Linked DNA regions of Struthio camelus. The protein of the gene in region 2 interacts with the protein of the main gene of each other region in a pairwise test. Links are inferred from orthologs where the notes say so. Each region holds a gene or a part of one and is shown on either strand. Other genes may lie near its edges. The genes, in order: HINFP and NPAT.

Region 1 (11,567 bases), on a different chromosome or scaffold from region 2:
CCCTTCCACCTCCCCACACAGACCAGAACTGGCAGCCAGTGAGGCTGGAGCAACAGAGAAGGAAGCTAGCCAGCTGCACGTGGGAAGAGACCCGGTCAGCCCTCTTCCCCAGCACATCACAACCAGATCACACCAGCACATCCCACAGAGGCCTGTGTTTTCCATACGCAGGGAGGCAGATGAGCACCTCACACAATCTGGATGCCCAGCTCCTCAGCTGTCTTCTGCAGACGGTCCATGACATTCTCCTCCAGCTCCATAGCCAGCCCACTAGGCACCGCGGCCCGCTCCTCCTCACCAGCTATGACACAATAAACAGTCTCACTCTCCCCAAGCTCGTTGGTCCAGTTCATCACACGGATGATGGGGTTGGTTGGGGTGCTGGGTTCTTGCTCCAAGGACAGCGCTGCTCCGACGAAGGCACTCGGCCCTGCTGTCTCAGGGTTGCCACTAGAGTAGGCTGCAGGGTGCAGCTGGGCCACTTGCAGCTCAGTGTCACTGTTCTCCACTGAGGGAGCCCCTGCTGGGGCCTCCAGAACAATGGCCTGCAGGTTGCCCTCACCCTCAGACAGCACCACACACTCAGCCGAGCCATCGAGGGCCTCTCCCTGCTTCTCACGGTCCTTCAGTAGCTGCTCTGTCAGCTCCACGCTCTCATAGCGCACCAGCTGCAGCCTCATGTAGCCATCCTCATGTTCTTTGTACCTGAGCAAAGACAGGCGGGGTGATGGAGCAGGTTACACTGCAGTCCCTTCCCAAGAGCACAGCAGCAGCCTGAAAGAGCACCCAAGGAAGGGGTACTATATTCTAGGCTCCAACACCCACTACTATACGGATGATGCTGGCAAAGGAGGATAAAAACCCTAGAGCCTCTCCTCCTAGTAAGTGCATTCATGTGGCAGCTTCTGAGCTTTCTGCCTGCTCTCTATCATCTCCAAAGCCCATCTCCTTCCCCCACCCTGTTTCCCTGGGAACATTCAAAATCCATCCTCTTTCCTTCCCAGCCTTAGGCTCGAGAAACCCTTTGAGGAGATCAGAGAGTCCTGTAGAGGGCATAGCAGAGGGGCAGCTGTCAAGAAGAAAGAAGTTGAATTGGGGCAACTCTCCAGGGTGGACACCTAGAATTGGCCCCTGCCAAGTTCAGGGATATAGCCGCAACGGCACCACTGCCCACACCCCTAATCTCTGACCCGCTGCTGGAGCTCCCACCCAGCACTGCTCCACCAGTGTCTGATCCCACTGAGCACTTGCTGCCCAGGGCTTCCTTCCCAGCCCTGGGAAGCAGGTCTCGAGTACATTACAGGCAAACAAACATCAGAGCCCAATCACTGCCAGACCTCTGCTGGCTTCAGCAAGATGCAGAAGGCAGCTCTAGCTGCCTGCACCAGAGCAGAGGTAGGGAGGAGCTGAGGGAGGGCAGTACCTGAAGCGAGGATGCCCCGAGGGCCATTTGAACTGGTGTTTCTTCCTGAGGTGCACAGTGAGGTTGTTCCCACGTGTGAAGCACTTGTCACAGACGTGGCACTTGTACCGGGGCTCTGAGTCACCCTGGAGCGCAGAGAGGATTGTGAGAACCCCACAAGCCTATGCAGAGGGCCTGGTACCTGCCTGCACACACTGAGGGAGGAATCAGGTTCTCTGTGAAGACTAACATAACATATCACTGCAGCAGGAAGAGAGAAAGGCAACCTGACCTCACACTCCTGCAGCCCTGGTCAGCCTGTGGCACTTCACAGGGCTTTAGCTTTTTTCCTTATGCTTCTGTACAGCACGTCATGGTTAGTGCTTCTCAGCTTTACTGGGAGTCAGTGCACAGCAGAACAGCCCCTCCTTCCCTTCCTACCTCATGGACTTTCCGGTAGTGCAGTTTGATGGAGCAGAGGGAGCGTGCGGTGAAGCTGCAAGCCTCAAACTCGCAGCGATAGGCTGGCTCTTTGCTGTGTGTGTCCAGATGTTTCCTCAAGTCAATGAGATTCTTGCAGCTACAAGGAAACAGTAAAGGAACAAAGGTGATCAGCGCGTGCTGCGCATATACAAACAGGCCTCTGGGCACTTCTCTGCCACTAGCCAGAAACACAGGAAGCCCTGGTCCTCACCTGTAGTCACAGTAGTCACACTTGAACGGCCGCTCCTCACTGTGCCGGAAACGAATATGATTGCGCAGGGAGGAGGGCAGCGGGCAGGTCATGTCACACAGGGGGCACTTGTAATGGTTCACTGCTCGAAAGAAACGAGTGGGAAACATCACCACGGAGCAGAGGAGAGAACACACTCCTCAGAGCCTCAGTTGGGAGAAGGGGCCTTTACTCACCGTGGTTTCTCATGTGGTCACGGAGCAGCCTCTCTGTGGCAAACCTCTTGGAGCAGTGAGAACACTGAAACCTCTGCTCTGCAACATCAAGGTCAAGGGAGAAGGGGGAAGGGAAAGGGGTGGTTAAAAAGAGAAATCAAAGCAGAGAAAACAACACAAACAGTAACAAATGAGAAAGGTTCCCAGCTCTGCTGAACCTTTCTCTGCAACCAGAGTCAGCAGACACTAACCACAAAGCCAAAACATAAAACCACTTTTAAGGATCAATCTGTCTTCCACCCTTGCAGCTTGCCCTGTGCTGCCAATGTAGCAGGAACCGGGGAGCAACCGTCGCAAACGCAACACACTTCTCCAACACAGCACAAGGGAATCCAGCACGCCTGCTTACAACCCACTCCTCCCTGGGCCTGCAGGAGCTTACGGTCCAGTGCGGTCTGCCGACGGATGTGGTCAAAGAACTTGGTGTTGTTGGCAAACATCCCCCCGCAGGTAGGACAGGCCACCACCTTCTCCTGCGTGTGGCTGCGCAGGTGCTCCCGCAGCTTGCAGCGCCCTTTGAAGGTGCAATCACAGTCTGAACACAAACAACAGAACACCGTTAGGATCCTTCACAAAGTTACCGAGTCTGTTCCATCCTATGACAGGCCACAGAGGAGTCTCAGGCTCCACAACCTGACTGAACAGCAGGTAGCTTGCTTGCCTGTGCCAGGACCAGCTCTGCTCCAAAAGAGCCCATGCAGCACAGATACAGAATGATCAGGACACTAGTCTACACCCAGCACGGGTCCCCTCACCCCACAAGCGGCTATGACAACTGCACAAACTCAGAAGAGAGCAATTATTCTAACAAGTAAACCAGAGCCTCTTCTCCTACGTACTAATTAACTATAAATTAGAAGTTTAATATGAAATAGACCATTGGATCCCCTGAAAGAAACTGTACAGGAGCATTTCACTGTCAGCACTACACACATGCTCCTGAAGTAAGAGGGGCTCTCTGAGAGCCTACCAAAGAGAGCAGAGCTTTCCTGTACAGCCCTCACAATCCAGCCCCACGCAGAGCTCTCCGGAAAGGCCTTGCATGCTCCCACTGACCTTTCCAGCCACAAAGGACCACACGGTTCTCCTTCCCTGCTGCTTTGTACTCAGAACAGAAACTGTGATCCTCCACATGCCGATAGAACCACTCAGGATTATCGAACGACCTCTGCGGGGACAGAGGGAACAGGGTGAAGAGATCAGCGCGAGCCTGCCTCAGCCAGAGCACAACAGACACTTCCCCCCAGGCACAAACACAGCAAACATGCAGGCATGCAGGAAAGCGCAGCTCTCTTCCCCTTCACTGCCAAGTCACAGACAACACTTAGGAAAGTAGAACTGGCTCCCCTGCTCTGACCTCACAGTACTCCCACAGACATAGGAAGTTATCCTGGATCTCAGGGATGATATTGCGGCTCTGGAAATCCAGCTGGCAGTAGCTCACGTCTGACTGGCTCTGCAGAGCCCGGAGCCCCCACTGCTTCAGCTTGGTGTGGTAGCAGTGGAAATAGACGTGGTGGATGAGGTCAGCTGAGCTTTCTGGCGAACAGAAACCACATTCCTGCCACAGACATGCGTATTCCTCTGCAACACAAACAGGAGACACCAGCGTATAAAATTTTGGGAAACTCTCCCAAATAAAGCTCAGATCCCTGTAGGCTGAGAAATTCTTTTTTTTTTTTTTTTCCCCATAAGATTCCAGTTGCGCAACCGGCAGAGCCACTCTCCTTAAGGAAAAGGACATTTTTCCCACAGTGAAGAAACTCAGAGAAGGAAGAGGACTTATGACCCACTACAAACAACAAAGACGGTAACTTCTTACCGAGAGGGTCCACCTTGTCCCGGTTTTCCCTGGGAAGGTGCTGCTGCAAGTGCTGGGCCACATGCTCACAGAACTCCTCCATCCTCGAGGCCACGTAGGAACAAACCTCCCACTCGCACTGCAGCACCAAGGCTTCCTTCCTGCCACCCTTTCCAGGAGGCATGGCGGCAGGGCAGGAACGTCTCCCGCGCTGCCCCGCTCACCCCAAACCGGCCAGGGCGCCCCTGGGACGCTGCCGGGCAGGCCTCGGTGACAGCAGGGCAGTCCCTGCGAGGGCTCACGGTGGCGGCTGGAGCCGGGGCCGAGCCCACGACAGCGGGCAGTGCTGGCCCAGCCGGCCCCTCACCCTTCCCTGGGGCGGCCCTCCGGGGGGGGATCCGGGCCCGGAGCGAGGGATCGCAGCCCCGGGGCGGGGGAGGGGGGGGGGGGATCCGGTGGCCCCGCAGCCGGGAGACGCCGCCGCGGCCCGCGCCGGGGCGGGAAAACCGCCCGCACTTGTCGACCGGCCCCCGCCGAGCTCTTTCCCCCCCCACCTGGGGGCGCCGGATCCCAACGGACCGCGCCCGCCCGACCAATAGCAGCCGCCTCCGCCCGGCCGCCAGCCAATCGCCAGGCAGGAGGCGGCCCCGCGCGTGCGGCGGCCGAGCGGACCCGTGCGGAAACGAGCGTCCGGCGCGCAAAGGTTCCGGGACCTTCTCCCCCCCCCCCGCAGCCTGCTCATGAGCCCGCCTGGTGTGACCCCTGACCTCCAGGAGTGACCTCTGACCCCCAGGGTGACCCCTGACCCCCAGGGCCTGGCCAGAGCGCAGCAGCATCCCCCCGGGACACCCCTCGCACCCCTTCACCGGGACCGAAGCCTTCCTGGCTGCCCCACCAAAATGCCCAAAATGGGGGTCCGGCAGCAGCTGCTGCGGCGTCCCGGCGCAAGCCCACCGCGGCAGGGCCTTGTGCACGGGCTTGACTTGATCCATAAGCGCAACCGTGCTGGACAGCAGCGGGACTAACCCACGTGGCTTTCGGTGAAGCCACGTCCTGGGAGCGGGGAGCGGCGTTGGGCGCAGCCGGAGGCTGCACGCGGGGCCTGGCTGGCGCAGCGACGGAGCGTGAAGCGCCGCAAATGCCTCCCTGTTGCCGCTCTCGTTCATTTTTAGCGCCTTCGCTCATTTCGAGGATGTCCAGGGCAAACACTGTGGCTATTTGTTGTCTCAACAAGCAACTCCTCTCACCAGGGGAGATTACAATCGCATAACGCACAGCTGCATGCCCTGGCCAACACAGAGTACAAACGCTATTACTGTCCATCAGTACTGCGGTTCCTGCTGTGAGATAATGCAAGACCTTTTTTTTTTTTCTTCACTTGGTAATGAGAAGACAGATTGAAATGACAGTTTGAATTAAACAAATATACGTTGAATATTGCATCTGCTATTCCAGGCTTTTGTAGTACAAAATAGAGCTATAATTCTTAGTGAGGTTTGCTTTGGCACCATGCTAAAATCAAGTGGGATTGTATAAAATGTGTCATAAAGTGTGCCTTGTCAATACACAATTGCTTCTGTAATTCCTGTTGTATGCCCTGGCTCTACCCGATAAGATGAATGAAAGGCACTAAACTGTAGAGTAAACCTGGACCTGAGGCTTTTGCAAAGGGAAACATAAGAAAAGAGATGGGTGTCATCTAAGAGAAGGCAGGATGAGTTTTTATTTCATCTCTGCTTAATTATTTTCTGCAGGATCAGTTGCTGTTTTTAATGCAATTATTTTGTAATCGGTGGTGAAGACACCTGGCCTGGGCGGACAGTGCTACAGCTGCAACGGTCAGGCTGAGCTTGCATGGAGCCAGGATTTCACTTGTATATCCTGCCCAAAGCAAACATATGTCCAGCACAGGAGACAAACCCAGGCGGGAAGTCTGCCAGGAGGCAGGGGGCAAAATACGCCTGTTGCTCACAATGCAAAAACAGCCCTCTTCTGCTGCGACCTTACCTCTGCCCGGTTTCCCCGACCTGCCTGGTGCTTCCTGCCATTTCCACTAGCTGTCTGCAAATCCGAGGGACCTGCGGATACCAGGAGGGGTGGCAGTAACGCACTGGCCAAAACAAGACTCATCCACAGGGAGGGGGACTATAAGCGACCACAGACTCTGTGTGCAGGAGCTAGTTTTCCATCAGATTTCTGTGCGGTGTCCTCTCGGTCATGAGCTCTGTATCTGAGCAGCCAGAATACCTGAATCTGTACATTAAGTATATGGGGAATTATTCTCTATGATACTTCAGCTTTGCCTTCCCCGCTTTCCATGACGGCCTGAACATATGCAGCTTTCCAGCAGCTGCCCCTTTTAGTTTATTTTTCCTCTGAAGAAAAAAAAAAATACGCTTAAAAAACTAATAGCCTTCCCCCGGGAAGGCAGTGTAAGTGACAGGCCACATTCATCACTGGGCCAGTGCTAGCGAAAATGCATGGCACTACAAAGAGGGACAGATCTATCTAATAGATCCACAAACTGACAGTGGGCTCCACAAGAGGAGAAATATTTAATTGTGAGGAATGTACTGGCGCCAGTTTTGTCGTGCTCATGTCAGATGAGCATCGCGTTGCTACGTACCACTCTGCTTGCACACAAAACGCTACAGAGATTGGCTGTCTCACTGCAGCCAGTCTTCAACTTATTCCTGGGTTGTGCTAGCTGTTCTGTGGGAAAAGGGCTCCCTTACAGGAAATTTGGATATGCTTCTGAATCAGGGCATAAGCATTATTTAAAGAAACATTAAGGGGTTAGCTCTGCTGCTTGATTCAAGTATTGCAGAAGTAGATTTGCTGCTGTTAAGAGGCTGAGAACAGAAGAATAGCTATAGCCAGCCAGGCCAAAAGTCCCTTTTCTCTGGGTCCAGGAGCAGCGTAAGAACAGGTCCTTTCCTAGCCGTCATTTCCCCTGCTGTCACCAGGCAGGAGACTAACCACAGCTCTCCAGAAAGGGGGCTCCCGGCTGGACAACGGCAAGCCCAACCCTGGCCTCCCCGCAGGAATATGTGGGTTTGCTAAAGGACACCCCCGCCGGTGTCCCCAGCTACGAGTTGTGCCCCTCTCCAGCAGGAAAGCCTGCTGAGTTCATCACGTCTCCTAGATCTAGTTTTAATTGTGTAACGCCTAAGCTAGCCTGTGCGGTCCCTGTGGGACAGTACTGCCATGCGGCTCTTCAGCAGCACCTGGATGCCTCACACTTGGAGCTCTTGCTCCAAGCCTTGTTCTGCAGCCAGGTTCCTCTCCTCTAAGGAGACAGCTCATCACTGCAGGACTTACTGGCCTTTCATTTTAGCCAAAGACTTTTCCATCGATAAACCTCAGCTCAGTTTTCATCCATGACATGTCAGCTTAGACAGAAAAAAGACCCTTTGAGACTGATCCACACTGACCATTCAAATGGGAGTGAAACGCACATGGGAGATATTTGCATTTAAGCAAATCTCACACAAGCTATTGTGGAGACATCACTAAATTTGAGACAACATATTTCCATCGGGCTCAGCTGGTTATCAGCGGAGAATGAGCACTGACTTCACTCTGCTCCGGGAAGCCCATGACGGCCTTTCTCCAAAGTCCTGCAGAATCTGAGAGCTGGAATTAGTCAGCAGCGGCCAGAACGGAAATGGGTGAGTCCCAGCACCTTGACTTTCCAACATATAAAGATGTATCTTAATGGAAATATTGATGGTAAAGAGTAACTGTGGAAAGACTGTACCATGTTATCTGTGGGCTCACGTAAAATCAATTCAGAAAGCAGAATTGTCTAAAACCAACATATGGGATCTTAATAGCCCAATATTTTAACAATATCTATTAGCATGTTCAGCCTCCTCTAAACAGAATTCATATTCCTTCACAGAGTAATATTTTTCTGAAAGAGAGCTGAACCACAATGATGTGAAATACAATTCAATTTACTCGAAAAATATATAAAACCTGGCCTAAATTAGGAAATTAGCATTTCCTTCCCTGGTGCTGCCAATAGCAGGCTTATTTAGCATTTTAATAGCTCCGGATCAGATCCTGCAGAATGACTCACTGAAACCAACAGAGTCACTTACATGATGCCAGACTACTTAGCTAAACAAGGGGTCAGAGGACAGGGCTCTTATCTTGCTTACTTATGAAGATTTGAGCCTAGGCATAATTTATGGGCATATGAGCAAAGTAACTTCAACAGCAGCGTACCCATGCGTAAAAGTAAGGGTATGTGGAAGTGTTTGTCTAATGTCTTCAGACTGTTATGATGATGATAGGAAAACAGTACTGAAGAAGTGCAGAGCATCAGACGCTTGCTGGGAGGAATGATCGCAGAGGAGCAAGGGCAGTTAATAGAAGAGGCTGCAGTATCTGGGAATATCAGACTGCAGAATAAAAAAAATTCATCTCTTGTTCCAGCTGCGGTACCGTGACAACTTACTGGCAGGGGGGGCACAGCACAGAGCTTTAACTGGCTCTGATCCTCCTAAAACAATTGCCAGACTCCACTTCAAATCAGCCCTGAACGCTAGCTGAGAGGAAACCCGTTCGCTCCGCTCACCTACTGAACATCTCTGCTCATAGTTTTTCAGTGATGCTCTGACAGAAACAGCCCTGTTCTGAAAATCAAATATGAGAGTGTGTTCTTGGCTTGGGCCCCCCTCAGAAACTTATATCCAAAGCTAATCTTGGGAATTTAGGCACATTCCTCATATCAAGCCCCCATGTAGGTGCTGAGCTGAATCAAGGCCTGAATCCTCAGCTGGAGGCAGCTAGCAAGGCTGCCTGAGTTACCTTAGGTATTAAACCAGGATGGAGCGCTCTGTACCGCACCACCCGGTTCGCGCTCTCCCATCAAATTGCAGTGTTGTGTCCCTGAAGAAACGCTCAGGCAAAGCCACAAAGCTTCAGGTGCAGAAGCTGTCGCTGCTTCTACCAGTCACACCCAGACGCGCCGCCAGAGCGTCCGAACTCCGGGGTACCCAGGGCACCCTCTGCTTCCAACTGCTCTCAGTGAAAACAGCCCTGGGAAGGGATCATAGGAGGGAAACTCAGTGCCAGGGCCATGGAAGAGAGCCAGCCTCAGCGTACAGGCAGATTCTTCCGAATTGGAAGAGTTGATATCCATGCCTGGCCGCGCGCCGGCTTACCCAGAAATACTGGCTGGTCCGTACACAGACTCAATGTCCACTTCTGTTTTGACTATTTCAGTCATAAGCTTTTGGGGGCAGCGAGTGTCTCTTGCAGACTATTTGCCTTGTGCCCAATCTTGGCTGAAGTTTCTGGTCAGTATTCAAACACCAAACCCAAGCTGAAGTTGCCCAACAACTGCAGTCACTGTGGCCCACCAGAAGACATTTGGGGTAACCCCAAGCCAGCATCAACTTTCTGCATTGTTTATGCCTTCAACGCTTCCCTTTCTAAGCTCTCCGTGTGCATGTGCACCTGGGGATATAATGCCACCAGAATGAAAATGATGAATGGAACCAAATGCCACATCCTGAAAAGCAGAAGGGAAAATGATAAATCACAATTTTAGAGATCAAACACTTCAGCTGCAGTATAGCTGTCTCTGTTCCCTCAGAGGGAACATGGCTTCTTGTTTTCCAAGGGATTAGCTTCAAAGTTGAGTTCTTGTCTTAACATTTCAATGAGAGCCCTTCTGGACACTCCTCCCTGGCTCCACAGGTGTGAGCTCTCTGTGCAGGCACAGCCTGCTAGCCAGGATAAAAAGTTGCCCCTGGTATTGTACGCCGTACCTCTCTCTCTCAGTTGCACCAAAACACCTGTACCCACAGCAGATCTCACAAAGATTTACCCAGGCAGGGGAAGGGGACAGATGCACCAAAAGTCGCACAGACACGATGTGCAGGTTTTGCTGGCTTTCAGGGAGGCTGAGAAAACAGAAGCCAGGCCGGCCGCCGGCCTCCGGGTGACCTGGCTAAGACGCGGTACCCCTCTTTGTGCCTTATGGGCTTTGTTCCCCTTGCTAAAACAACAGAGCTCCCAAGAACCTGTCTGTACTTGCTGTGGATACCAAGCAGACTGAGCAGCCAACTCCTTTGCTTTTCCTGAGCTCTGCTCAGACCAAGTCACACGACGGTACTGTGGAGCCACTCTGGCTGCCTGGGGTATTTCTACCTTTGCTCCACAGAGATCAAATCTATCTCAGCTCAGGGAGCGATGTGCTGAACGCCAGCAGCTCCAGATAGGCAATGAGGAGCTAAACCGCAGAATCGTTGCAGAAAGCAGTAGGGGCCATAGGGTTAAATCCACCTTTGTTGACCCGAAGGGGAAACGTAGGATCGCCCCCCCCACCCCCAGCCCTCTTTGGCAAAACAAAAGCCAAAAACCATCATCCAGCCATGTGTGCCCCAGAGGGAACTGCATGGAAACCACCTGGTACCACAGTGCTGAACTACAGGGTAGGGCCACCTTGGTCTTTGTTCTCTGCAAATGAGCCCTGCTCGCTGTTGGGCTCCTAAGTGACAACTTAGCAGGACAGTATTTGTGTGCTTCCTTCCTACGCTCGTGTAAAGAGGCGATGAATTTGCTTCTTCCTTAACAACCTTTTCCACCTACCCTATGCTTTGGCTGATCTCCCCTAATGCTTGTTTCATTCCCTCAGTCCCTACAGATTTTGGCAAACGCGTGTACCAAGGAGTGCGAGTGAAACACACAGTCAAAGATCTTCTTGCTGAAAAACGATCCAGGCAGAGCAGTGGCTCCCGCTGCACTGTAAGTCCTTTGCTTTACCAGAAAAGTCATTTCATGCAATCTCTAGTTTAAAGAGCATTTTTGCTGAGTTCAGAGTGATGCCAACATTGGCAAGGAAAAGCACAAGTATTTCTAACACTAGTTTCTGCCTCAAAGATCACAGAGTGCTTTTTCACATCAGTGAGTCTCTCAGGGATTAAAGTCCTGAGAAATACAATTCTCAATAATTTCTTTAGCAAATCAGTGATGTTAAATTTCCCATTCCTTTCACAACCTGCACATGACACCTTTCCAAGTCAGCTTCCTTTACTGCTAGCTACATTTGAACAACTCAGTGTCATAAAAATAGATGTTCTTCCCTGAATGTTGCACTCCTTCCAGCTCCTCTCTGGCATACCAGAGTGCCAGGCGATATGCAGTGATGTTATGCTCTGGAAAGAGGCCAAGCATCAGTTTGTAAGAGCTGATTTCTTTTTAAAGTGATTCCATGGCAACAGAAAACGTAAGTCAAATTATGGTAAACTACCTTGCATCTAGTGAAGTACTAACCCGACACAGGCACCTGAGAAGCGATGCTGTCCCCAGAAGAGGACACAAAATTGCAGGTGCCAGCACAGGGCACTTGAAACCTTTGCCAAGCAGCAGCGCTTTGCCTCCTGGCTGGCTGGGAGCAAT
Region 2 (11,802 bases):
GAATTTTAATTAGTTTTACAAACCAGACAAGAAACATGTCATGCCATAGGACTCTCTCTTGTTATTTATCTCACAATAAACAGCTAAACAACTTTACAATCGTACACCCATACTTTCTGCATGCTTTATTGAATTTTTGTGCTTTATTACAGTAAGAGTTATCTTCAAATCTGAAGTGAATATATAGGCTGGCAATTCTAAAATTCTGATCTAAGTGGCAGTTAATCGTCTGCATGATAACAAGGCCTTCAGCTTTGAACATAGATGGGGTATTACTCTAAGTCCAAATACAGACTGTGGTATCGTCCCTTCCTCAAGTAGCTCATAATTTTGACAGATAAACAACAAAAATATATAAATAAATAAGTCTCACTCTGAAGGCTTACCTTTTGTTTTCATGGCTACATACTCATTAAGAATAGTTGTCAAGTTTTTTCCACACAGGGACTGGGGAAAAAAAATAAAAAGAAAAAGGCCCACTCATCTTAGAATCTTCCCTAATATATATACTCCATTCACTGTAACACATTATATTTAAGCTGTGAAAAAGACAGTCTTGGCATACTTAATTATCACGGTTCTTAAAAGACTACACCATGGTAACCTTAAACACAAAGAACTGTACTTGAAGCTGCTGGTGCTGAGTTGTCTCAGAAGGGGTAGAGAACAATCTATGAACCAAAATGTCATTCTGAACAAAAAATTTAAGTGTATGATCTTGTTGCACACCATTGGTACAGCACTCAGATCTGCATGACTTCAGCTTGACTTGTCTTTGTTCTTATGGACTAAAGACACAAGAATAAGATTAAGAGCACCTACCCTGGGTTAACAAATATGCACCATCCTGGAACAAAGTGCACAAAGATGCAAACCTGAACAGAGCTGTTGCCTAAAGTACAATTACTATTATTAACTTTCATTTCATATTTATTTGTTCTGTTATTTTAGGTGAAACAGAGAAATAAAATTTTCAAATTATTGCTATCGTTTACTGTACCTTTCTGTCTTGTTTACTTGTAGCAACTCCTACAGCACATGCCTGACAAAAGCACTTTACTGAATTGCAAGTATTTTGCGCTGCAGTGAGTTTTTTTTCTTTATGCTATAATATCATCACCTTTCTATGAAAAATAGGAAAAAGGTATCTCTTGAGAAAAGGAAGAGAATCAAAAACTTAAAGAATACGAATAAATCCTTTCTACTTACAGTTGTTAGTCTAATTCTTCCTGGCCATAGCTTGGTTCTCAATTCCCTTCCCCCACTGCTCCCAAAGTATAGATGACTAGACACTTGTTAACGAAATAAGAAGTTCCATGCTCATACGTGTATCACGATCACTGATCTCAGAAGAGTTCCACACACTTTCAATATTGTGGACAAAATCCCAGACTACATGATTGAGTGGTACGTTAGAAGAATGGAATGCAAAACGGGAAGAAGATACACATACAAATATCAAAAGTTTGATATATAGCAATATCCAAAACCTATAATTTTGTTACTAACTAAAAAAATCTCAGGTCATATATGCTGAAAGTGCAAAGCATCAAGTTGTCCTGTAGTTATATGCACCTATCTACGTACGCAGCTGCACGTTGTATTTATACCCATGCCCAAAGTTCCACGTTTCATCTGGCACAAAGCAGATCATACTGATTAAAGGGGAAGCTGAATCAAAACATAGCTGTTTTCACCAATTTTTGACACGCTCAAATAAAGCTGAGGCACCTTACCTAAATTAGTATTTACATGAAAGAGAACATTACCGACTGCTGTATCTAAAAAAAAAGGAAGTGATCTTCAATAAATCACTAGAGCAATCCTGAAATCAATTAAAATGCTTGGAACACCCTTGTATATATCAATCTTGAAAACAATGAAGCAGACTAAATGTAACATGCTGAACACAATTGGCATATTTTCCTCTTAACTATTTATTAGTAATGTTAAATATTGAAAGATGCTGAGAAATAGAGATGACCATCAAACTAAACAGCTTAAGCACCATTTGAGAAGCAACTGTTACACTGTTCATATGTATTCTGAAAAAAACTCTGAAAACTCTTTTTGGGGGGAAAAAAAGGCTTCTCTTCCGCGGCTGTAACACAATTTAACTTGCTGTGTTACAAATACAAACTCACCAGCAAGCAGGCCGGAATAAACCCATCCTCTGTACAGTGCTCTGCATATTCTTTCAAATCTGAGCTTTCCAAAATAAATTCACGGCAGGTAGCTAAAAGCTTTTCCTGTTGTAAATACCCTGCAATAAATCAGACAGAAGACTTTGCTATTTTATTCATTATTTCTGCATGTTGTGCTTGGTAGGTATTGAAGCATTAATACGACCAACTATATGATATAACGTTGGAACAATTAGATAAGGATTCATGCATTAGATAAGGAAACTGAAGTCATTATGAAAGAACACCTATCTTGCAACGTATTCCTTTAATAGTTAAAACCAGAAAGAGCACATATTATTAACATTGTACTGGATTTACAAACTGTTCAAGACTAGAAGTGAGACAATATGAACAATTTCTGACTGATCGTTAGTACACATAGCACTGTACAGACAAGAAAGAAAATATCAACTTCTTAAGTCAGGAATAAACTCACACATGGGTTTTGATTATAAACATCTAGTTTTATAAACAAATAGAATTCTATAGTACTGTATTAATAAAATGCATTGCTGTGCAGCAATAACTCTCCATAAATTCTCCAGCTTCAGAACAGGTAGAACATATGCATCGTTAAGACAGCGCATTAGATTTCTTCCAAAAATGACATTATATAAAAATTATTTTTACAAAATCAGTATTTTGTTTTTCTACTTACCGTAATTTTCATTTTTAATAGGTATTCTAGTGTACACTTGTACACTTTATATACCCTACCCCAAGACTCAGTAGTTATCTTACCAGGAACTATACTGAAAAAGTTCACTTTTTCAAAATCCCAGTCCTCAGTTAATATGCTCTTTTAAGGTATTTTAAATCCCGCTTTAATCTTCAAATAGTCTAAACGCTAAAAGGTAAAGCTAGATCAATCTGAGTAAAGGATTACAGAACAAAAGAGCCATAAAACAAAATATCGTGCCTTTTCTTTCTTATCTGTAGCAGAACTGCATACGCAATCGTTTAAAGAGTTAAAATACACATACCTAATCATATTCACACAGAACCCCAAAACAGCCTGCCTCAGTTCAGGAAAGTCCATAGAAAAATCCTGCCTTTAAGTTCACATGAAGACATAATATCTTTTATCAGATCCAAGCATAGCTAGAAAAAGTAGATCAGCTTTCACACTCACAGGCCTCCGACAAATAAACTTCAAAGTTAAACACAGTTTGAGAATAACTGCTGAGAGTTTCATTAGGATGTACGAGCTAGCCCATATGGGACAAAATGTAGTTGGCACCTGCGGAATAGAGAGGGCTGCCATATTTAATGTTTCAAATACATTTTGTTAGAAAATCCTCAAACCACAAATTGCTAGAAGCTGAGGGCACACTGGGGGAAATACACCTACATGCCAGTCTTATGCCTGTCTGCTGTACCATCCATTGCTGACCAGTATTACAGACAGGGCATTAAGCTAGATGGGAGTTCGACTGTAAGAACAGCCATACCAGCACAGATCAAACCCATCTTCTGGATCTTTGCTAAAAAACAGTTGCAATTTCTTTCTTGAGCCTCCTATTGCGAAGGATGACTGAATGCCAGCACACAGGCCTATTTGGCACATACATCAATTTCCTGCAGATAACGGCGACTGAACTTAAATTGTCTGTGCACGTACATTACAATAACAGAATCATATACAACCTTCAACATTACCAAAAACAAGTTAGAGGCACAAAAGGAAGAGTGCCTGCTGAACTAGAAAGTATTCAACATTTTGTTCTATCTTAATATATGTGAAGACCTATGGTCTACCTTACAGTACTCATTCACTCTTTACCTAGAAAACGATAAATTTGCTTATGCCTTTTTCTACAGGCAAGCTCATCTTACCATTTTAGTTCTGTTTCTTAAATCAATACTCATCAACACTCACAGCACCAAAAAGACTTTGCTAGAGAAAAACAAAAAAAAAAAAAGGAAGAGGAACTGCGCTAGGAAGCCTGTTGATCTGCTCAGAATTCAGATGCCTCAGAGAGGAGCAATCGCTATTAGAAGACAAAAATAACTGTTAAGAATATCCTGTTCTACAATCTTGGGTTGCTCAGAGATTTTCTAGGACTACTGCATGCACTACGCCACAACAGACGCAAGATAGGACGGAGCATCCTCAATACACGCGAAACGTTCAAAATTTTTATTCTATCTACAAGTCTCTACGCAGCACGTGAGATAAACTGTTTACTAAGAAACTTACAACTTAACCAAAATTTTATCGAAAAGTATAGCAAGTAAATGGCCAAAAAGAGATATCCCGCGCCAAATTGTAAGTGTTCTTTTACAATGCACAGAATTTGAAAAAAATCCTATTACTTTGCAATAATAAAAACAATGTTTCTGTTGTTACGCTCAGTTCTCGAAAAGCAACAACAAACGTTTCAGGTAGCGTTTAAAAATAAATAGAACTGCAGACAGACGAAAGAAAAGATTCAGCCTCACTGGTTTTTGACTGGCAAAATCTGCCCAGGCTGTCTGTGCACCTGAAAACAGCATCTTGCTATGAAAACTGCCAGGAAATCTTAGCGACCTGGACCAGTACCTGCTGACAGCGTACCTATTACATATAGGGGTCCTACTTCCAATCCACGGCCACTTGCTCTCATCTTTGGCTGTGACCAAACATTGCAAGCGTAAAGTCTTTTTAGCAGTTTATCCTCCCTGCTGTCAAGGTCCTGAAAACACTTGTTTTATGCTTCCCACGGACGCAGCGCGCACCACAGAAGGGAGTTCTCGATCTGACCTCGCGGCTCACGGAAACAGGGAAAGAAAAACCAGCTGAACCCTCACCTGTTCTCATCTGGCCTCTTGGACCACCGGGATTGGTGCTGAGAGCAGAGGCTCCCCCCAGTCTCGCCCACCAGCCCCCGCCCGCACAAGGAGGCGGCAGAGCCCACCGGCCTTCCCGGGAGTCACCTCAGCGCCGCTCCCGGGCGGCTCCCGACGCAGCACCCGCCCGAGCACAACGTGGCGCCTCCACCTGCCCCGCCGCTGCCTTCGCGGGGGCCGAAAGCCGCCGGCGAACCGGCCGCGCTCCCCGCTAAAAGCGGGGCCCAAGGCCGCCCGACCGCCCCGGGGCGGCCCAGGCACTGCGCCTCGCCGCGGACACGGGTGACATCCCCGGCGGCGGGCGGCCACGGCCCGGCGCCGGCCGAGGCTCAAGGGCGCAGCGGCTGCCTCCGCGCGCCTGCCGCCCCGAGCGCCCTGTCAGCGGCCGGCGGAGCCCCCTCCTCGCTTCTCCTCGCCTCTCCCCTCCCCTCGCCCTGCGCGGCCGCGGTCGCGGCCGCCTCCGCGGGCCCGGCGGTGCCCGCCCCGCCCGCGCGCACTCACCCAGCACCAGCCGGGCCACGTCGGACGGCAGCAGCATGACCCGCGGCGCGGAGGGGCAGGCGGCGCGGGCGCGGCGAACGCGGCCCCCCGAGGCGCGGCGCGGCCGCCCCGCCACCCAGGGCAAGGCGCGGAAACTCCGCCAGCCAGCGCCCCGCCCGGCCCCTTCCGCCGGAACCCGCCGCCGCGCATCCGCTTCCAGGTCCGCCGCTGCCGCCGCCCACACGTGCGCTGCGCTGCGCTCCTCTCCTCTCCTCTCCTCTCCTCTCCTCGCCCGCCGCCGCCGCCGCGAGGGGGGCGCGCGCCGCCGCCGGCCGTTAAGCCGCCGCCGCGCGCCCGCGCTGCGCTGCGCTCCCCTGACGCCGCTCAGAGGTGGGCCTGCTCCTGCCCGTCCGTGCCCTCCCGATGCCTGCCCCCGCCCCGGCTGAGGGGCTGCTCGAGGCGCGGTCCCCGCGCGGGTGCTGAGGGGCGGCCCGCGCGGCGGGTGGCGGGCGGCGGGGAGGCAGCGGGCGGCGGCGGCGGCCCGGCGCTCGCCTGGCGGCGGGCTGGGGTGGTCGGCTGTGGTTACCCGCGAGGTGGCGGTTGGGCCGCTGTAGCGTAGCTCGGTGAGGAGCGCTCGGTGCGTGTCTGCTGTTTTTAAAGGGCTCCTTCCTTGTCCCACTTGTCCCAGGTATTTTTTTTTTTTTTTGAAAGGGGATGAGTGCCGTCATGATTTGGTAGTTGGCGACTGGGCTGCAAAGAGAAACGGCAAGTGCGTACAGTGTTAGGAACTTGTCACTGTTGTTGTCATGGTAGTTAAAATACCTTTAAATGCCAGTAAAAGAAGACGCGGCCCTCTTTCTTCTTGAGCCCCAGTCCCTACAACATACAACCCCGTGTTGCCACAGTTCTCAGTCAACCCTTAATTTTTCATCCCATCAATGTTTTAGAAGCCTTTAGCATGTGAAATGTTGTTTCTTGCTTTCGGTTATTTTCGGCATAAGTAGCAAGTTAGTAGAGGAATGCTTCCTTGCTTAACTGAGCTTAGTTGTACGCCAGAGCAGGCCTTTCAAGCTTGCCATAGGTTCCTTTTCCTCAATACCTAACTAGCCACCATCCCTTTCTGGTCATGTTTACTCAGCTCCATTTCCGTGTTGACTGTCTCCATCCATCTTAGCTGCTAGCTGCCACTACTACATGGTGGTGCCTTAACGTTGTGTTTCACGGTTGTCTTGAGTTCTCAGTTCTGGTCACCTTTAAGACACAGATTTACAAGGAAGAGAACAGGAAGGTGGGCACATGAATATGTGACAGGAAAAAGGCCATTCAAGTCGTGATGTTCCCATAAATCCTAGCACTGTGATAAGATGGAAAGATGATCTTAGGGGATTAAAGACAGAGGTTCGAACTCTTCTAGAGGAACAAGAGCTCTCAATATTCAGAGTTTTATGCACAGGACTATCTGTCAAGTTTGACCTTTTGTCAAAGAACGTGCTCAGTATTTTTTTTTCCTGTGATGCGCTGTATAGATGGCATAAACGTCAAACATTTGAAATCTGCTGTTTTGTTTTTGCTTTGGGAAGGGTATATGTCAGGGACCCCTGCCCCTGGTTATTCCACAGATTGGTCAACTCTTCTGTCCTTTTTCTCCTCACCTCGGTTTTTAATGCGGTCAAAGTAATCACGTGGATTATAAAGCAGTCAAAATAATTTGCTATTAAAATGTGGTTTCCAGACATATATGAAGAAACCCATTTGTCTCAGCGTGATCTCTGTTGAATCCAAAGAAGATGAAAGCAAGATGATGTTTGTATAAGACGGTAGATCTTTAAAGTTTTAACTGCCTTATTCAGCTAAATGGTTATTTATATATTCTTACTTAAGTGTTCCGGGGCCAGTGATGTGCATCATGTATGCCAGTTCTCAGCTTCATACTGCAGCTTCAGCAGCATATGCTTGGTGTTACTTCCAGCATGTCCATCTCTGTTTTTCAGATAAGAGTTTGTCCTGAGGCTAGTTTAAGGGAAAGGGTACAAGGAGAAGCATGGACGCTGCATACAATTTCATTGTCATGATCTGCGTCAACATAATTTTCTGGAAACCAGAAATGTAAGGTTGATCTGATTCGGACGTATGTTAAAAGAGGTAGGGCATAATCTTAAGTAGTAATAGAAGCAAAAAAGTATTTTTCTCCTGTCGTTGATATTTGAGCATCTTGTGGTATTTGGAGTCCAGAGGCATTTGTAAATATAATGGTGCATAGCTGTATAATAGAGAAGGTTAGAGTGGAAGAAAGTTTTATTTTCAAAGAGCTGCCTTTTCCTCATCAGGTTAAAAGTGCTTCTGATAACTGCTATGTCCTGAAAGTTAGTGCTGTTTGCCTGATTAAAATGACATAGAGCCGAGTGTGTTCTCATTACCGTTCATGTTTCAGTCTGTATTGTCTCATCGACTCTCTGCTCTTTCATTAGCCTTAAAAAGAAGGAAGTCAGTCATGTGAAAGGACCCTTTTCTGTTTTTGTCCACAACTACTGCTCTTCGGAATAGATTGCATTCTTGACATGACACTTTCTACTTCTGTCTTGTGAGCAATAGCACCAACCCAGAGAGGAATGAGCTTTTGAGTGAAGTAAAGCTGTTGTATTTGACATGGAAATGCAATATATTGAAAATTCAAAATTTTGAACTGATTGACTTGGCTCTGTGTTAAATAAAATAATTTATTTCATCCTTTTTTTCTGTTTGCAGATGCAAATGACTGTCCTGTTAAACTGAACCATGAGTCTTGTGTTACATGATCTGCTCGTTTGTTGCCGTCACCTTGAGAATGATAAAGCTACAGAGCGAAGGGTAATAAGGTTTCTTCTGGTATATATCATTCTCAATGAAGGGAATGATTAATAACCTTTTTTTTCCTGAAATACATTTTCAGAAAGAAATTGAAAATTTCAAGCGACTGCTCCGTGATTCTGAAACAGTTCTCCAACTGGACCGGAATTCTGATTCTAAACAAGCAAAGCAACTCAGCTGGGATGCTGTATTTGGGTAGGTTCTTTTACTGTCCAGAGCAAAGCATTTTTCTTCTTTTTTTTTTTTTTTTGGTGAAAGGTCATGTTTCTTGCATGGAACATCACTATTTTGTTTATCAGGCTTATTTAAATGCTTATCTTCCTGCGGATTGATTGAGGCTTCTTGTCAGTCAAGAAATGACTTATGTTACTCTCTAAAAGAAATAAATCTAAAATAGCCAAATAATGCATCAATCATCTGAGTACAACACTTTCCACTTACAGAAGATGCAGGGGCACACAGCACGTTGTAAATGTACAAACACTAGAACCGTCTCCTGAGAAACTGATTGTTAATAGGTGGTTAGCTTTTCTTGCAAAAATAATAGTTACTTTCTGTTACTGAAAAATATCCTCTGCATCTGACTTTCAATTTATAGTTCATATGTCGATTTTAAGTATCTCATTTAAAATTTTTCTGTAACTGAATTCTTCAAGACACAGCAGAAGGACTGTGCCTTATAAGCTAAAGAGGTCATGCTGTGAGGTTTGTAGAGGCCCATCTTTGATATAATTGCTTTAGGTGTACTACAAGATTGGACTGAGTGGGAGCGGGATAAGTTTTTAGAGCAGTTGGGCCCACTGCAGTTTTCATATTAAAGTGTGTCTGAAGTATTAGTTTTTACAGATTGGCATCTGGGCAGATTTACAGAATATTTTTTAATTGGATGGCATTTGAATGGGTCTTGTTTTACACCTGTAGCAAAATACTGTAAGAACTTTTCAGTAAATTTCTTATGTTGCTTTTGAGATGGCCAGACTCTAAACTGAATACAAATAACAAGCCAGAAAATCTACAGAAATTGCAACAAAGCCAGTAAAACGTTTAATCTATTTGTATTACATATTAACTTTAAATGATAGAGAATTGTTATTGTAATAAATGGATAATACCTTCTCCACACTGCTGGAAGGTTTGTATTTTTTCAGGAAGTGCATATCTATTAAGTCCAAAAATATTCAGTTAAAACATCCAGTCGACTGTAAGTGAGCTTAAAAGCAGAAGGACTTCAAGGTTTTCCCCAATACAGCCAGTAAAAAGTATTTCTTACTATTTTGTGCTATAAGTCGCAGCATAAATAACGATATTGTTTTTTTCGTTATCATGGATTGTATGTTTAGCATTATGCAAAGTATGTAGGAATATTCAGTTCTTATCCGAGTTCCTTCTGGATCATCTCAGCTCCTTTTATAAACTATTCCTATCATGGTTACGCTGTAATGTATTTTGGTGTTTAACAGAGCTTTAGAATCAGAATTGCTAAATGAGCAAGCACTTGAATTCTAAGTGCAAACAATGTTTACTTATTTTACTTAGGTCAAAAACGTGCAGATTCTTGATTAATGTCTCTGGTGTTTTTTTTGAAGAGTCCTGCAGAAATATTTCCAGAAAGAGATGGAAAGCTTCAGACTGACAAAACCAAATGTATCTGTTTCAACGCAAACTTCCAGACAGAAAAAGATGCAAGAGATTGGCAGTTTGGTCAAATACTTCATCAGACGTGCTAATAAAAGTCAGTAATACATGTCCATGTAGAATCACTGATTCTTTTATTTGGTGCTTTACTTTCAACTGTGAATTTTTGCTCTGAAGCAAGTTGTCAGGGTGGGGTTCATCTTGCCCACTCTCAGTTGTTTACAAATTAAATATCTTTATTTGCATTAGTTCTTTGTATGACTTACCTTGTTGATGTTGACAATGCCTTTTTAATTATTTGCTTTGCCTATAACTGGTGTATCCTTTCTCTTCTTGTAAGTAATTTTGTTTTTAGAGACAGTTTGTTTAAAAATATGATCTCCAGCAAAACTGTTTCTGAACTGCATTTTTTTTTTAATAGTGAATATGGAAATGATCATTTTGCAAGCAATTAATTCCGGGTTTGTTATGCAAGCTTTGGATTAATTGCAATGCTCACTTTGTTTCTTTACATAGGAGGACCCAGACTGAAGTGTCAGGAACTTCTGAATTATGTCTTGAAAATCATGAGAGATGCAACAAGTTGTGCAGCTTACGGAGCTGACTGTAGTAGTATACTCCTAAAGGATATCCTTTCAGTAAGGAGATACTGGTGTGAGATATCCCAGCAGCAGTGGTCAGGTAACATTTTTAAGCCTACTTACGAGTGTCTTTTCCTATTATGAAAGTATGTTTAGATGGGTTTTAGTTGTCTGATGCTATTACTGCAAAGCCCTGTTGCGTGAGGTACTACACATTGTATGAGGTACGAGACAAAACACATGAAGAAAGGTAGGGTCAGCCCTGAAGACTTACAACTGAAATAAAATCAATCGTTAATCTTTATTGCTTTGCTTCTTTTTGCATATTATTTGTCTATTTCCTGCTGAAACGTAAGTGTTTCTATACAATGAGTATATGTATGCACGTTTTCTGCAGGAGATAACATATATTACGAATCCATGGAGTTTGTATAGAAGAAATAGTCTCAGTAAAACTGGTCTTGGTGTACAGTTGTTGGCAAGTTGTTATTAGGTATTGACTGCTATAGGTTTGATATAGTTAATGTACTAAAATTAAATTTTATTATCTGAGTTTTATTGGCTCACGAAGGCCCTAAAAAGCGTGGATTCAACGTTGTTATATGTTAATACTACATATAAAGAAAAGATGAGAACGTGTAAGGTTTAAATAGATTAAAACAGATTTAAAAGTTGGTCTGGCGTGCAACCTCCACTGCTAGGGGAAAAAGCAAACATAATTTTTTACTTTTCAGAGATTTGGTTTTGACTCCAAGACAATTAACTTATAAATGTTCTTCTCCAGGCTGGATATGTTTTGAATCATCTAACTGGCATGTAGTGAACTCTCAACTCATCTATTTTAATTTGTTTATGTAATAGCACAGATGATTAGTAACTTGAGAAAAGAAGGAATTAGAAATTTTAGTCTAGTTTGTTCAATCTCGCATGTGTAATTGTGGAGAAAGTGTAGAAGTACAAAGCACTGTGCTATGCAAATAGCAATAGAAGTTGTTGTCAGTCAAGAGTTTGGATTTCTGAAAAGTATTTATTAAAAAAAAAAATCTGCTCTGTAGCTTGAAGAGGGTTGCTTAACTCCAGAATAGAAATGAACCTGCAAAGAACTTGGAAGAGGAGTGTGGTTATAGTGAGAGTGGAGGGGGAGGTGAACAGAACTGTGATGAAGGCTAGCAGAGCACAGAGACCGAACAGTTCGGGGTAGAAGATGGGACTGGATGAATAGAGAGGCTGAGAGTGGGATCAGG

What was found.
Region 1: the proteins of NPAT (region 2) and HINFP interact in a two-hybrid assay, tested with the Homo sapiens proteins (2 studies listed by BioGRID). The link is inferred for Struthio camelus from reciprocal best matches to the Homo sapiens genes NPAT and HINFP.

The regions. Positions count from the first base shown.
Region 1 is NC_090963.1:3,069,718-3,081,284, reverse strand, and holds the start of HINFP (histone H4 transcription factor), read right to left. Parts: upstream 4,525-11,567; 5' UTR 4,336-4,524; coding exon 4,173-4,335; intron 3,935-4,172; coding exon 3,708-3,934; intron 3,519-3,707; coding exon 3,407-3,518; intron 2,886-3,406; coding exon 2,733-2,885; intron 2,390-2,732; coding exon 2,312-2,389; intron 2,218-2,311; coding exon 2,097-2,217; intron 1,983-2,096; coding exon 1,844-1,982; intron 1,549-1,843; coding exon 1,424-1,548; intron 706-1,423; coding exon 189-705; 3' UTR 1-188. Other genes in the region: POU2AF2 (POU domain class 2-associating factor 2), read left to right, coding at 7,819-7,822, 10,804-10,913. UniProt on the Homo sapiens protein: Transcriptional repressor that binds to the consensus sequence 5'-CGGACGTT-3' and to the RB1 promoter. Transcriptional activator that promotes histone H4 gene transcription at the G1/S phase transition in conjunction with NPAT.
Region 2 is NC_090942.1:205,612,947-205,624,748, reverse strand, and holds the start of NPAT (protein NPAT), read right to left. Parts: upstream 5,684-11,802; 5' UTR 5,554-5,683; coding exon 5,517-5,553; intron 2,264-5,516; coding exon 2,145-2,263; intron 448-2,144; coding exon 387-447; intron 1-386. Other genes in the region: serine-protein kinase ATM, read left to right, coding at 8,271-8,342, 8,425-8,537, 9,929-10,074, 10,494-10,658. UniProt on the Homo sapiens protein: Required for progression through the G1 and S phases of the cell cycle and for S phase entry. Activates transcription of the histone H2A, histone H2B, histone H3 and histone H4 genes in conjunction with MIZF.